Linked DNA regions of Daphnia pulex. The protein of the gene in region 1 purifies or fractionates together with the protein of each later gene. This does not show direct contact. Links are inferred from orthologs where the notes say so. Each region holds a gene or a part of one and is shown in the gene's direction. Other genes may lie near its edges.

The links.
Region 2: the proteins of splicing factor 3B subunit 1-like (region 1) and U5 small nuclear ribonucleoprotein 40 kDa protein-like purify together in Homo sapiens (co-immunoprecipitation; 3 studies listed by BioGRID and IntAct, with this or other methods). This does not show direct contact. The link is inferred for Daphnia pulex from reciprocal best matches to the Homo sapiens genes SF3B1 and SNRNP40.

What each region holds. Positions count from the first base shown.
Region 1 is NC_060027.1:4,647,503-4,652,531, reverse strand, and holds the end of splicing factor 3B subunit 1-like, read left to right. Parts: coding exon 1-287; intron 288-351; coding exon 352-645; intron 646-708; coding exon 709-837; intron 838-901; coding exon 902-1,282; intron 1,283-1,341; coding exon 1,342-1,638; intron 1,639-1,702; coding exon 1,703-2,032; intron 2,033-2,101; coding exon 2,102-2,365; intron 2,366-2,427; coding exon 2,428-2,664; intron 2,665-2,725; coding exon 2,726-2,915; intron 2,916-2,982; coding exon 2,983-3,256; intron 3,257-3,320; coding exon 3,321-3,537; intron 3,538-3,598; coding exon 3,599-3,757; 3' UTR 3,758-3,831; downstream 3,832-5,029. Other genes in the region: coenzyme Q-binding protein COQ10 homolog B, mitochondrial-like, read right to left, coding at 3,911-4,373, 4,426-4,614, 4,678-4,778. UniProt on the Homo sapiens protein: Component of the 17S U2 SnRNP complex of the spliceosome, a large ribonucleoprotein complex that removes introns from transcribed pre-mRNAs.
Region 2 is NC_060027.1:3,203,613-3,208,531, reverse strand, and holds U5 small nuclear ribonucleoprotein 40 kDa protein-like, read left to right. Parts: upstream 1-1,264; 5' UTR 1,265-1,607; coding exon 1,608-1,685; intron 1,686-1,841; coding exon 1,842-1,971; intron 1,972-2,034; coding exon 2,035-2,208; intron 2,209-2,270; coding exon 2,271-2,479; intron 2,480-3,405; coding exon 3,406-3,609; intron 3,610-3,667; coding exon 3,668-3,833; intron 3,834-3,904; coding exon 3,905-3,957; 3' UTR 3,958-4,037; downstream 4,038-4,919. Other genes in the region: syndecan-like, read right to left, coding at 152-244. UniProt on the Homo sapiens protein: Required for pre-mRNA splicing as component of the activated spliceosome. Component of the U5 small nuclear ribonucleoprotein (snRNP) complex and the U4/U6-U5 tri-snRNP complex, building blocks of the spliceosome.

The sequences.
Region 1 (5,029 bases):
GTTTTGGTTCTGGTTGGGCTGAGACACCACGGACAGATCGTGGAGGAGACACAATCCAGGAGACACCAACTCCTTCGGCATCGAAACGTCGCAGCCGTTGGGATGAAACACCAGCTAATTCCAGTGCGACACCGTCTGGTGGAATGACTCCGCAAACTCCTTCACTATCTGGAGCTATGACTCCAAGAATGACACCGGGTGGAGCTACTCCAATCGGACAAAAAGCTATGGCCATGGCTACCCCAACTCCAGGACACCTTGTTACCATGACTCCTGAACAACTACAAGTAATCAGTGCATTATCCGTTTTGATGTTCAATATGTAACCCACAATGAAATTTATCGAAATAGGCATACCGATGGGAAAGAGAAATCGACGAAAGAAACCGCCCAATTGGAGATGATGAACTAGACGGGATGTTTCCAGAAGGCTACAAGGTCCTGCCTCCTCCAGCTGGATACATTCCTCTACGTACCCCGGCGCGCAAATTAACTGCAACTCCCACTCCATTAGCTGGGGCCAATTCGGGATTCTACATGCAACAAGAAGATAAAACTGCCTCAAAATACATGGACACACAACCCAAAGGCGGTAACTTGCCCTTTTTGAAGCCAGAAGATGCCCAATATTTTGACAAGCTATTGGTAATTATACTTAACTATTTCTTTTAAGTAAAATTAAAAAGTTTTTACTCTATTATTTTGCAGATTGATGTTGATGAAGATTCATTGAGCCCAGAAGAGCTTAAAGAACGAAAAATCATGACTCTTTTACTTAAAATCAAGAACGGTACCCCACCTATGCGTAAATCTGCATTAAGACAAATCACTGATAAGGTAAACTGATATATATTATTTTAAAGTAATTGTATCTTCAAACTGCGTTTATGTTTTTCAATAGGCTAGAGAATTCGGAGCTGGTCCACTTTTCAATCAGATCCTTCCTTTATTGATGTCTCCTACCCTTGAAGACCAAGAGCGACATTTGCTCGTTAAAGTTATCGATCGCATTCTCTACAAATTGGATGATCTAGTGCGTCCATACGTCCACAAAATCCTTGTCGTTATTGAACCGCTGCTAATCGACGAAGACTATTATGCTCGTGTTGAAGGTCGAGAAATCATCTCTAATTTAGCCAAAGCAGCTGGTTTAGCAACTATGATTTCTACCATGAGACCTGATATCGATAACATTGATGAATATGTTCGTAACACTACTGCAAGAGCTTTTGCTGTGGTAGCTTCTGCACTGGGAATTCCTTCCCTTCTTCCCTTTCTAAAGGTATATAGTTTGTTTCAGTTTTAAGATGGGCTTGTTCTTATCTATTATTTTTATTTTAGGCCGTTTGCAAGAGTAAAAAGTCATGGCAAGCTCGCCATACTGGCATCAAAATCGTCCAACAAATTGCTATTCTTATGGGATGTGCTATTTTACCTCACTTGCGAAATCTGGTTGAGATCATTGAACATGGATTGGTAGATGAGCAACAGAAAGTGCGCACCATCACTGCCTTGTCCATTGCTGCGCTGGCAGAAGCCGCGACTCCGTACGGTATTGAGAGCTTTGACTCTGTTTTAAAACCGTTGTGGAAGGGTATAAGAACTCATCGTGGTAAGGGATTGGCTGCTTTCCTTAAGGTATGTTAATTGAAAGTAAAATATTATCCTGCATACTGTAATATTATTTGTTTAAAAAAAATAGGCTATTGGCTATTTGATTCCTCTCATGGATGCCGAATACGCCAATTATTACACTCGCGAAGTGATGTTAATTTTAATTCGCGAGTTTCAGTCACCTGACGAAGAAATGAAAAAGATTGTACTTAAAGTGGTGAAACAGTGTTGCGCAACTGACGGTGTGGAACCTCAGTATATTAAAACAGAAATTTTGCCACATTTCTTCAAAAGTTTCTGGAATCATAGAATGGCATTAGATAGACGTAACTATCGCCAGCTAGTTGACACAACAGTTGAAATCGCTAATCGTGTTGGTGCAGCGGAAATTATTGGCCGAGTGGTTGACGATTTAAAGGTTTTATTCATTTTCATTATTTATAATTCAGTGACAGTCAAATAACATGTTGAATATTTTTCCTAACAGGACGAAAATGAACAATACCGGAAAATGGTTATGGAAACGGTCGAAAAGATCATGGGTAATCTTGGTGCCGCTGATATCGACGCTCGCTTGGAAGAGCAGCTCATCGACGGTATTCTCTACGCATTTCAGGAACAAACGACTGAAGATGTTGTGATGCTAAATGGATTCGGTACAATCGTGAACTCACTTTCCAAACGAGTTAAACCTTATTTGCCACAAATTTGTGGTACTATTTTATGGCGTTTGAACAACAAATCAGCAAAAGTAATGTTATACAACTTTTATTTGTAAACGTTCGTTTTAATATAATGATTTTTATTCCATAGGTTCGGCAACAAGCTGCTGATTTGATTAGCCGTATTGCAGCAGTAATGAAAACTTGTCAGGAAGAAAAGCTCATGGGGCATCTGGGAGTTGTTCTCTATGAATATCTTGGCGAAGAGTACCCTGAAGTTCTTGGGTCTATTTTAGCTGCTCTTAAAGCTATTGTTAACGTAATTGGCATGCACAAGATGACACCGCCAATCAAAGATTTACTTCCCCGATTAACACCTATTTTGAAGGTTCGCTTTTTTAACATATCAGTAATTTATTTTTCTTATTGTGGTTTTATTATCATTTTAGAATCGGCATGAAAAAGTACAGGAAAATTGCATCGATTTGGTTGGGCGTATTGCCGATCGTGGGCCAGAGTACGTTTCAGCTCGAGAGTGGATGCGCATTTGTTTTGAGCTTTTAGAACTCTTGAAAGCACACAAGAAAGCCATTCGACGAGCTACAGTCAACACTTTTGGTTATATCGCCAAAGCAATTGGTGAGACCGAAATTGTCATGGTTATTATGTACAATATAATTATTTATTTTTCAACAACAAATTTCAGGCCCACACGATGTATTGGCTACACTGCTTAATAATTTGAAGGTACAGGAGCGCCAAAATCGTGTTTGTACAACCGTTGCCATTGCAATTGTGGCTGAAACTTGTTCGCCCTTCACCGTCCTCCCTGGTCTTATGAACGAATATAGAGTCCCGGAACTTAATGTTCAAAATGGTGTTTTGAAGTCGATGTCATTCTTGTTCGAGTACATTGGCGAGATGGGGAAGGATTACATTTATTCAGTTACATCGCTCTTAGAAGACGCTTTGATGGATCGGTAAGTTTCTAGTTATTTTGAATTTATGATTAATTAGTTAATGAAGCACATCTGTTTATTTTAGTGACCTGGTCCATCGTCAAACTGCTTGTGCAGCCATCAAGCACATGGCTTTGGGTGTTTTCGGCTTTGGTTGTGAAGATGCCCTCACACACCTGTTGAACTACGTTTGGCCCAATATTTTTGAAACATCCCCTCATTTGGTTCAAGCTTTTATGGATGCTGTGGAGGGTATGAGAGTAGCCCTGGGCCCTATTAAAGTCTTACAATACGCACTGCAGGTAACTTAATTATTTGATTGAATTAGAATTTCAGTTTTAAACCATTTTCTTTTCTATATAGGGTCTGTTTCATCCGGCCCGGAAAGTTCGTGACGTGTATTGGAAGATTTACAACTCACTATACATCGGCGGTCAAGATTCACTGGTGTGTGGGTACCCTCGAGTGTCCAACGAAGGGAAAAACACTTTTAATCGTTATGAACTCGATTATGTATTGTAATTCACTTTCTGTACTACATTTTTACACAAGTTTCATGTACTGATTTCATTAAAAATAAACTCACTTGAGCCGTCGCAATTCGTGTAATGTCATCAAATTTAGATACAATATTATTTAACATTTCAATTTAGCTAGTGATTATTGATTAAGTCATTAGGCGTGTGTAGATAACATCTGTGGCCTTTGACCATTAATTGACGCTGGTCCGTAACGTCTCCTAGCCTCTGTCAAAAATGCAGTAACCATTTGCCTAACAACCTGATCAAAAAAAACATGTGACAGTTGAGAGTGAAGTACAGACCGAAATTCAAAGGAAATGGAAAAATCCAATGTGCAACTTTTAGGATTTCCCTTTAGTCCAGGACTGAATTTCCAAATAGTAAGAAGATGGTTGAATAGCTTCCCTTCTGAACACACAGACTTCACCATGTTTGGTGGGGTAAGCATGACACTGCTTGTATAGCTTTCTACTAACAAAGGAGGAAAGCCAATTGCTAAATCAGCTCTAAGATGACCAGTAGTTCGTGAGGTAACTACAGAGCTTTTGCAATATGGAACAAAATTTTTGTAATTCTCCACCTCGGCCACAACATTGTACATTTGTTCCATTGAATACCTAGAAAGTTCATTTTTAATTTCTATTGCAAAATTAATTTGTTTTATATTACCCCAACAACCTTCTTTCAGAATAGTCTTTTCTTTTGTTTCCAATTCCTAGTCCAGGCAACTGAAAACCACGACTAGGAATAGCTAGGTCAATTGCTCCATAACTTGAGTTACTTGACGAAACTACTCTTGGACAAGCAGAATGGCTTCCAGTATATTGTAATGCACTACATTGAATTACAGTTAACTTCCTGCATAAAAGAGAGGTTACACAATGTAATCCAAACTGTATGAAGAGATTAAAGATTATTTACCTAGATAAGGTAATGAAATTTCTATGCGCATGAAACATCTTGCACCAGCTACGACGAGCGGGTCTTGCAATGGCAATGAAAGGCAGCGTGAAACTTGACATTTCTAGTATTAGAAATGATTGAAATCAATCCGAATTTTTTACTCCATCATACCGAATTGATTGAATAACATAAAAACATATGAATGGTTGCAGACGACTTCGCAAGAGTTATCTTAGTGAAAAGTGATTTCAGGCATTGCCGGTTTTCTCTTTTTTCTTGGCGTTAAAAGCGCCCCCCCCCCCCCCATCCTGAACCATTTATTTGAATTTTTGAGCGTTTTTAATGGTATTTATTTGTGGTATCAGAGATG
Region 2 (4,919 bases), about 1.4 Mb from region 1:
CACAAAACGTTAGTTTAAAAAGAACGACAAAATAAAACAAAACCCAACAAAATGTGTCGTGACAAAATTGTGAGCCTGGAATCAAGGGTGTGGGAGTTTTATGATAGTCCAGATGTGTGAAAAGATCAATAAAAAGTGGTGGCATTCTTACCTTGGCAACCGATGATGCACTGTTGATGTTACTGCTAACCGAATGTGCAGCCAAAAAGGCGATGAAAATCGCCATATGTATTCTGGGATTCATTTTTGAGAGAATTTCCTGAGCGTTTGAGAGTCTGCCTTACGTGTGTGTGAGAGGGTGGAGAGAGAGATTTTTTCAGTATTATTTATTTTAAGAGCCGGATATCCGTTTCTAAAGTTTTCTTCCAAGATTTTTGTGTTATTTCAATACAAAAGTGGAGAACGTGGTCGAATAAATTAGGATAGTTGCAGCCTTTTGTCCGTTTTTCTAATTTTCTAAACACAGACGGTGATGCTCTCAGGTCAGGCTGGGCATTTTCTTTCTTTCTTTCACACTTCTTCTCTCTCACAGGCGCGCACTCAACCACACAGTTCACTGGTGAAGCCAAAACGATGGCCGAGTTTTACTCGTCGATTCGGGGACGGAATGTTAAATATCAACAGAACAAAAAGAGTTGCCGGGAATTGGCGTGATTTCGAGACACTTCTCGATGTAACCAAAGGCCGAAATGGATTAAAAGATCCCAACTCACGCCCAGATCATCAAACACACCAGCCGAGAGCCGCCATTAAACTGAAGGGACTGGATTTTTCTTTGTGTCCCTCCGCCGCCATTGGGTACCAAAAACTCTGCCATCTGGCGGCAGTTTTCAGCTCCTCCCCACTTTCTCCTCCAACAACATAGACGTGGAAATTATACGGACGAATGTAAACCACACACACGGGAAAGAAAAGGAAAAACAAAAATCAATCTCATCATTTCCTCATCATGTTGGGAAAAAATGAATGACTCAATTTAGGTCATGGATTCAGCGCTCAAAATATCTTCATCTCGAGAGACTAGTTTTGTTCTTTCCGACGCACCAAATTTCGTTGGAATGGAAAAGAAATCCCAGACATAGCGACTATCACATATACTGGTGAAGTCGTTTTCTTGCGAGTGTTAAAAAACTAGAAGGTCCTCTGTTCTATAGTCACACGGACACACAAAACTTAAGAAAATATCGAGGGGAGAGATTTAATGTTTGTTGTTTCTCCCTCCTTCTTCTAACACTCCTTTTCTTTTTTTACGATCGTGGGTTCGCCTGTTTTCCGGCCCCAATAATACCCATTGTTTTCCAAGACTGCGCGGGTGTTCATGAAATTCCTCGAGTTACAACTTCTTTTTCCCAAAAAAAGAAAGAGAAAAAGGGTTCGGAAATTCTTGAGCGATATACCACTGTGACAGCTTTTCCCCATCTCAATTTTTATTCTTTTATTATACCAAAGTCTTTCCAAGTTTCCAACAAGATTTGGAAAAGGCGACCACTATAAAATATAGATCTAGCAAGAAAAGGCTTCTGCTCCGTCAGTAGTAGTTGTCAAAACTTTTTCACTTTTTTTTTCTACAACTTGAAAATTTTCTTAAAAGTCTAGAAGCCGGAGCAATGGCGCTTGTGTCAGTAAACAATCCCAGCAATAATGAATTGGTGTCGGCCACCTCGGGTCAAGTGGCCCTGCAACAGGTTTGATTTATTTGTGTTTTATTTATAAACTTTTAAATGAGCCGAATGCATCACAAAAGAGAATTGCATCCAACCACATGCTGACCAGCTTGTGTGTTTTGTTGTTGTAGATGCTATGATGAATTCAAATGTGATATTGACTTTTTCAATAAACAGGGACCAGCAAGAACGTCTAGCCTCATGGCTCCTATAATGCTCCTGGCAGGACATCCTGGAGATATCTTTAGCCTGAAGTTCCATCCTGACGGCCAGTTTTTGGTTTCCACCGGGTTCGACAGACAAATATGTAAGCATCATATATACATTTGAGCATCTCTACTGTTTGGATAATCAACCTCTTGTTCAACAGTTTTGTGGAATGTTTATGGAGAGTGTGAAAACTTTGCTGTGTTGTCTGGTCACACCGGAGCAGTAATGGATCTTCAGCTGTCTACCGATGGTGATACCATTTACACTGCTAGTACAGACAAAACCATTTGTTTGTGGGACACCAGAACAGGAGCTAAAATCAAGAAACTGAAAGGTATACCATTGTCACTGTCCCATTATTTAGCAATTGAACCCAACAACAATTTGTTTCAACAGGCCACTCCTCCTTTGTCAATGCTATTCATCCTGCACGAAGAGGACCTCCTCTTCTCTGCAGCGCCTCAGATGACTGCAACATCAAAGTCTGGGATCCAAGAAAAAGAACCGAGACAGTATCATTAGATAATTCTTACCAAGCGACTTCCGTCACCTTCAACGATACCGCCGAACAAGTCATTTCCGCAGGCATCGACAACGATGTTAAGGTGAGTTCGCAAAATTCAATTGTTGTAATAGAGAGAGAGAGAGAGAGAAGAAAAACTATGGGACCAATTTCCAAGAATTTGAATTAAGCCACCGATTCGGCGAACTTCATATTCCGTGTGAGTGGGAGAAAGTCACAAACTTGAGTATTTTTCTTACAGAATTGATTAAAGTTCTCAGTATTTTTACTTGATGGCTTCAAGAGAATAGTTTGGCAAAAAAGGAAGGACCTGCAGTCATATTCTGTCTTTGTTGTAAAAACTAAAGTTTCGACATTGTTGATTGTTTTCTACTTAATATTGAACCATATTCGTGCAAGTTCTGTCTTACCCTATCATCGAGTTCATTTTCCTTGAAGAGTGCAAGGGATTTCAACTTTGGTATTCTGATTATCGCGTGTCTCACCTTGATAAGGTCACCAAGTCCTTCCTTACTTCCAGGGCCCCTTCTCTTTGATATATGAATGGGTTCACTAATGTAAGCTCGTAGGCGAAGTTTTTAAAATTAATTCAAGTAATTTCAGCAGTAGGGTCTCGTCAAATGTCCTAATTCCATCCTAATTACTGAAGATGCGCATTTTTGTGTTTTGTCAGTTTGAGGCAAATGTGAAACGCTGGAAGCGGATTCTGATACTTCTTTGCTTGTCAGATGGTTGCACATTATCGATCAAAACTTTTCCCCGTAATACTTATGACAATTTTGCGACATCTTTAGGAAGAATTTACTCTGAAAAATAGATAATTTTCACTTTTTATCGATTATCTTTTCGTTCGAACTAAACCCATGTTAAGTTTTCTCCTTTTTTTGGAAGATATTCATTTTAAAACCTGAAAAGTAGTTTTGCATTTGCGATATTTCAACTGGTCCTGGCCTTGAGCTATTCACGTGAATATGGAGAGATAGGTAAATCATACACTTTCCTTTTTAGGTCTGGGACTTGAGAAAAAATGCTCTCCTCTACTCCTTGAAGGGCCATTCCGACACTGTGACCGGCTTGACTCTCAGTCCTGATGGATCTTACGTGTTGTCAAACTCGATGGACAACTCTTTACGTGTCTGGGATGTACGACCTTTCGCTCCTCAAGAACGTTGTATCAAAATGATGGTTGGCCATGCTCACAACTTTGAAAAGGTATATACAATGCCGGCGAATTTCTCAATCCATTCTAATACCTTGTGTAATGTTATAGAATTTACTTCGCTGCTCATGGTCACCTGACGGAACCAAAGTTTCAGCGGGATCTGCCGACCGATTCGTTTACATTTGGGACACTACATCTCGCCGCATCATTTACAAATTACCTGGTCACAACGGAAGTGTCAATGACGTTGTATTTCATCCTAAGGAACCTATTGGTAATTTACGCAGCAAATCAACATCAAGGACATCAATTAATTTCAGATTTTTTATTTTGAATGAAACATAGTTGCATCCGGTGCCAGTGACAAGCTGATTTACCTAGGCGAAATTGACGCTTAATTAGGAAAGGTTATAATTTTTTTCAGTTGAAACGATGGCAAGGATCGAGGACGAATAAACAAATAATTCTTTTACGCATATTTACAAAATTGCATTTAAATTAATCGACATTTAAAGGCCAAAAAAAACTTAATTGGATTGTTTGCTCGTTCTCGAGTCCATTTAGAGATCATCACGTTAAGAAAATGCAATTATGAATGGAAAAACTAGGAAGAAAAGGTTAGCTAGGTACGAATAATGTTAACGGCACGTGAGAAAAATCAATGGATGAAGTGCCATCCTCTGATCAAGTGATGACTTGCGAGAAGGTGTTTCAAAAGTGTCTGAGTGCTATTGTTCTGTCACGTCTTCGCAGTGACAAAGATAGCGGAAGTGTCCTCCTTAGCGCTTTAGAGAATTCAGTACTCCTGAGAATGTAGAGCAAAGGGCTAATGACTGCGTGCAACAGATGCAGTTCACGTACGTATGGAATGAGTGCCGTGAATGTTGAATCGCTGCATTGGCGTGGATTCATTTGACAGATAACGATGGCCAGGAAAACAAAAGTTAATGGCAAAGCGAAGAGAATTAGCGGAACTATTCCAGACACGAGAGTGACGCTCGCTTCCAATTCTAAACGAGAAATAGTTTTATCTGGCAAATGCACAAAGTGCTCATCCGGTTTGAGTACAGCGTTTGTTGTCGGTAGGAGCGTTTTAAAGCGTAAATAATGACGAGTTCTAACATACACGACGACTTGCGCAACAGTTATGATGCCAACCAGGACGAAATGAGAAAACGTCACCCACTTCACCACAGACACTTCAACGGAACATACGGGAAACTGAATTTTGCCTAACCAATAGGGACTAGTTTGCATGAGCAACACCACAATCCAAGACGTGATGATAAACATGACCACTCCGACGACGGTGATTCGTCTTTGATGCCAAATAGGATAACTTATGGCGATCCAGCGGTCG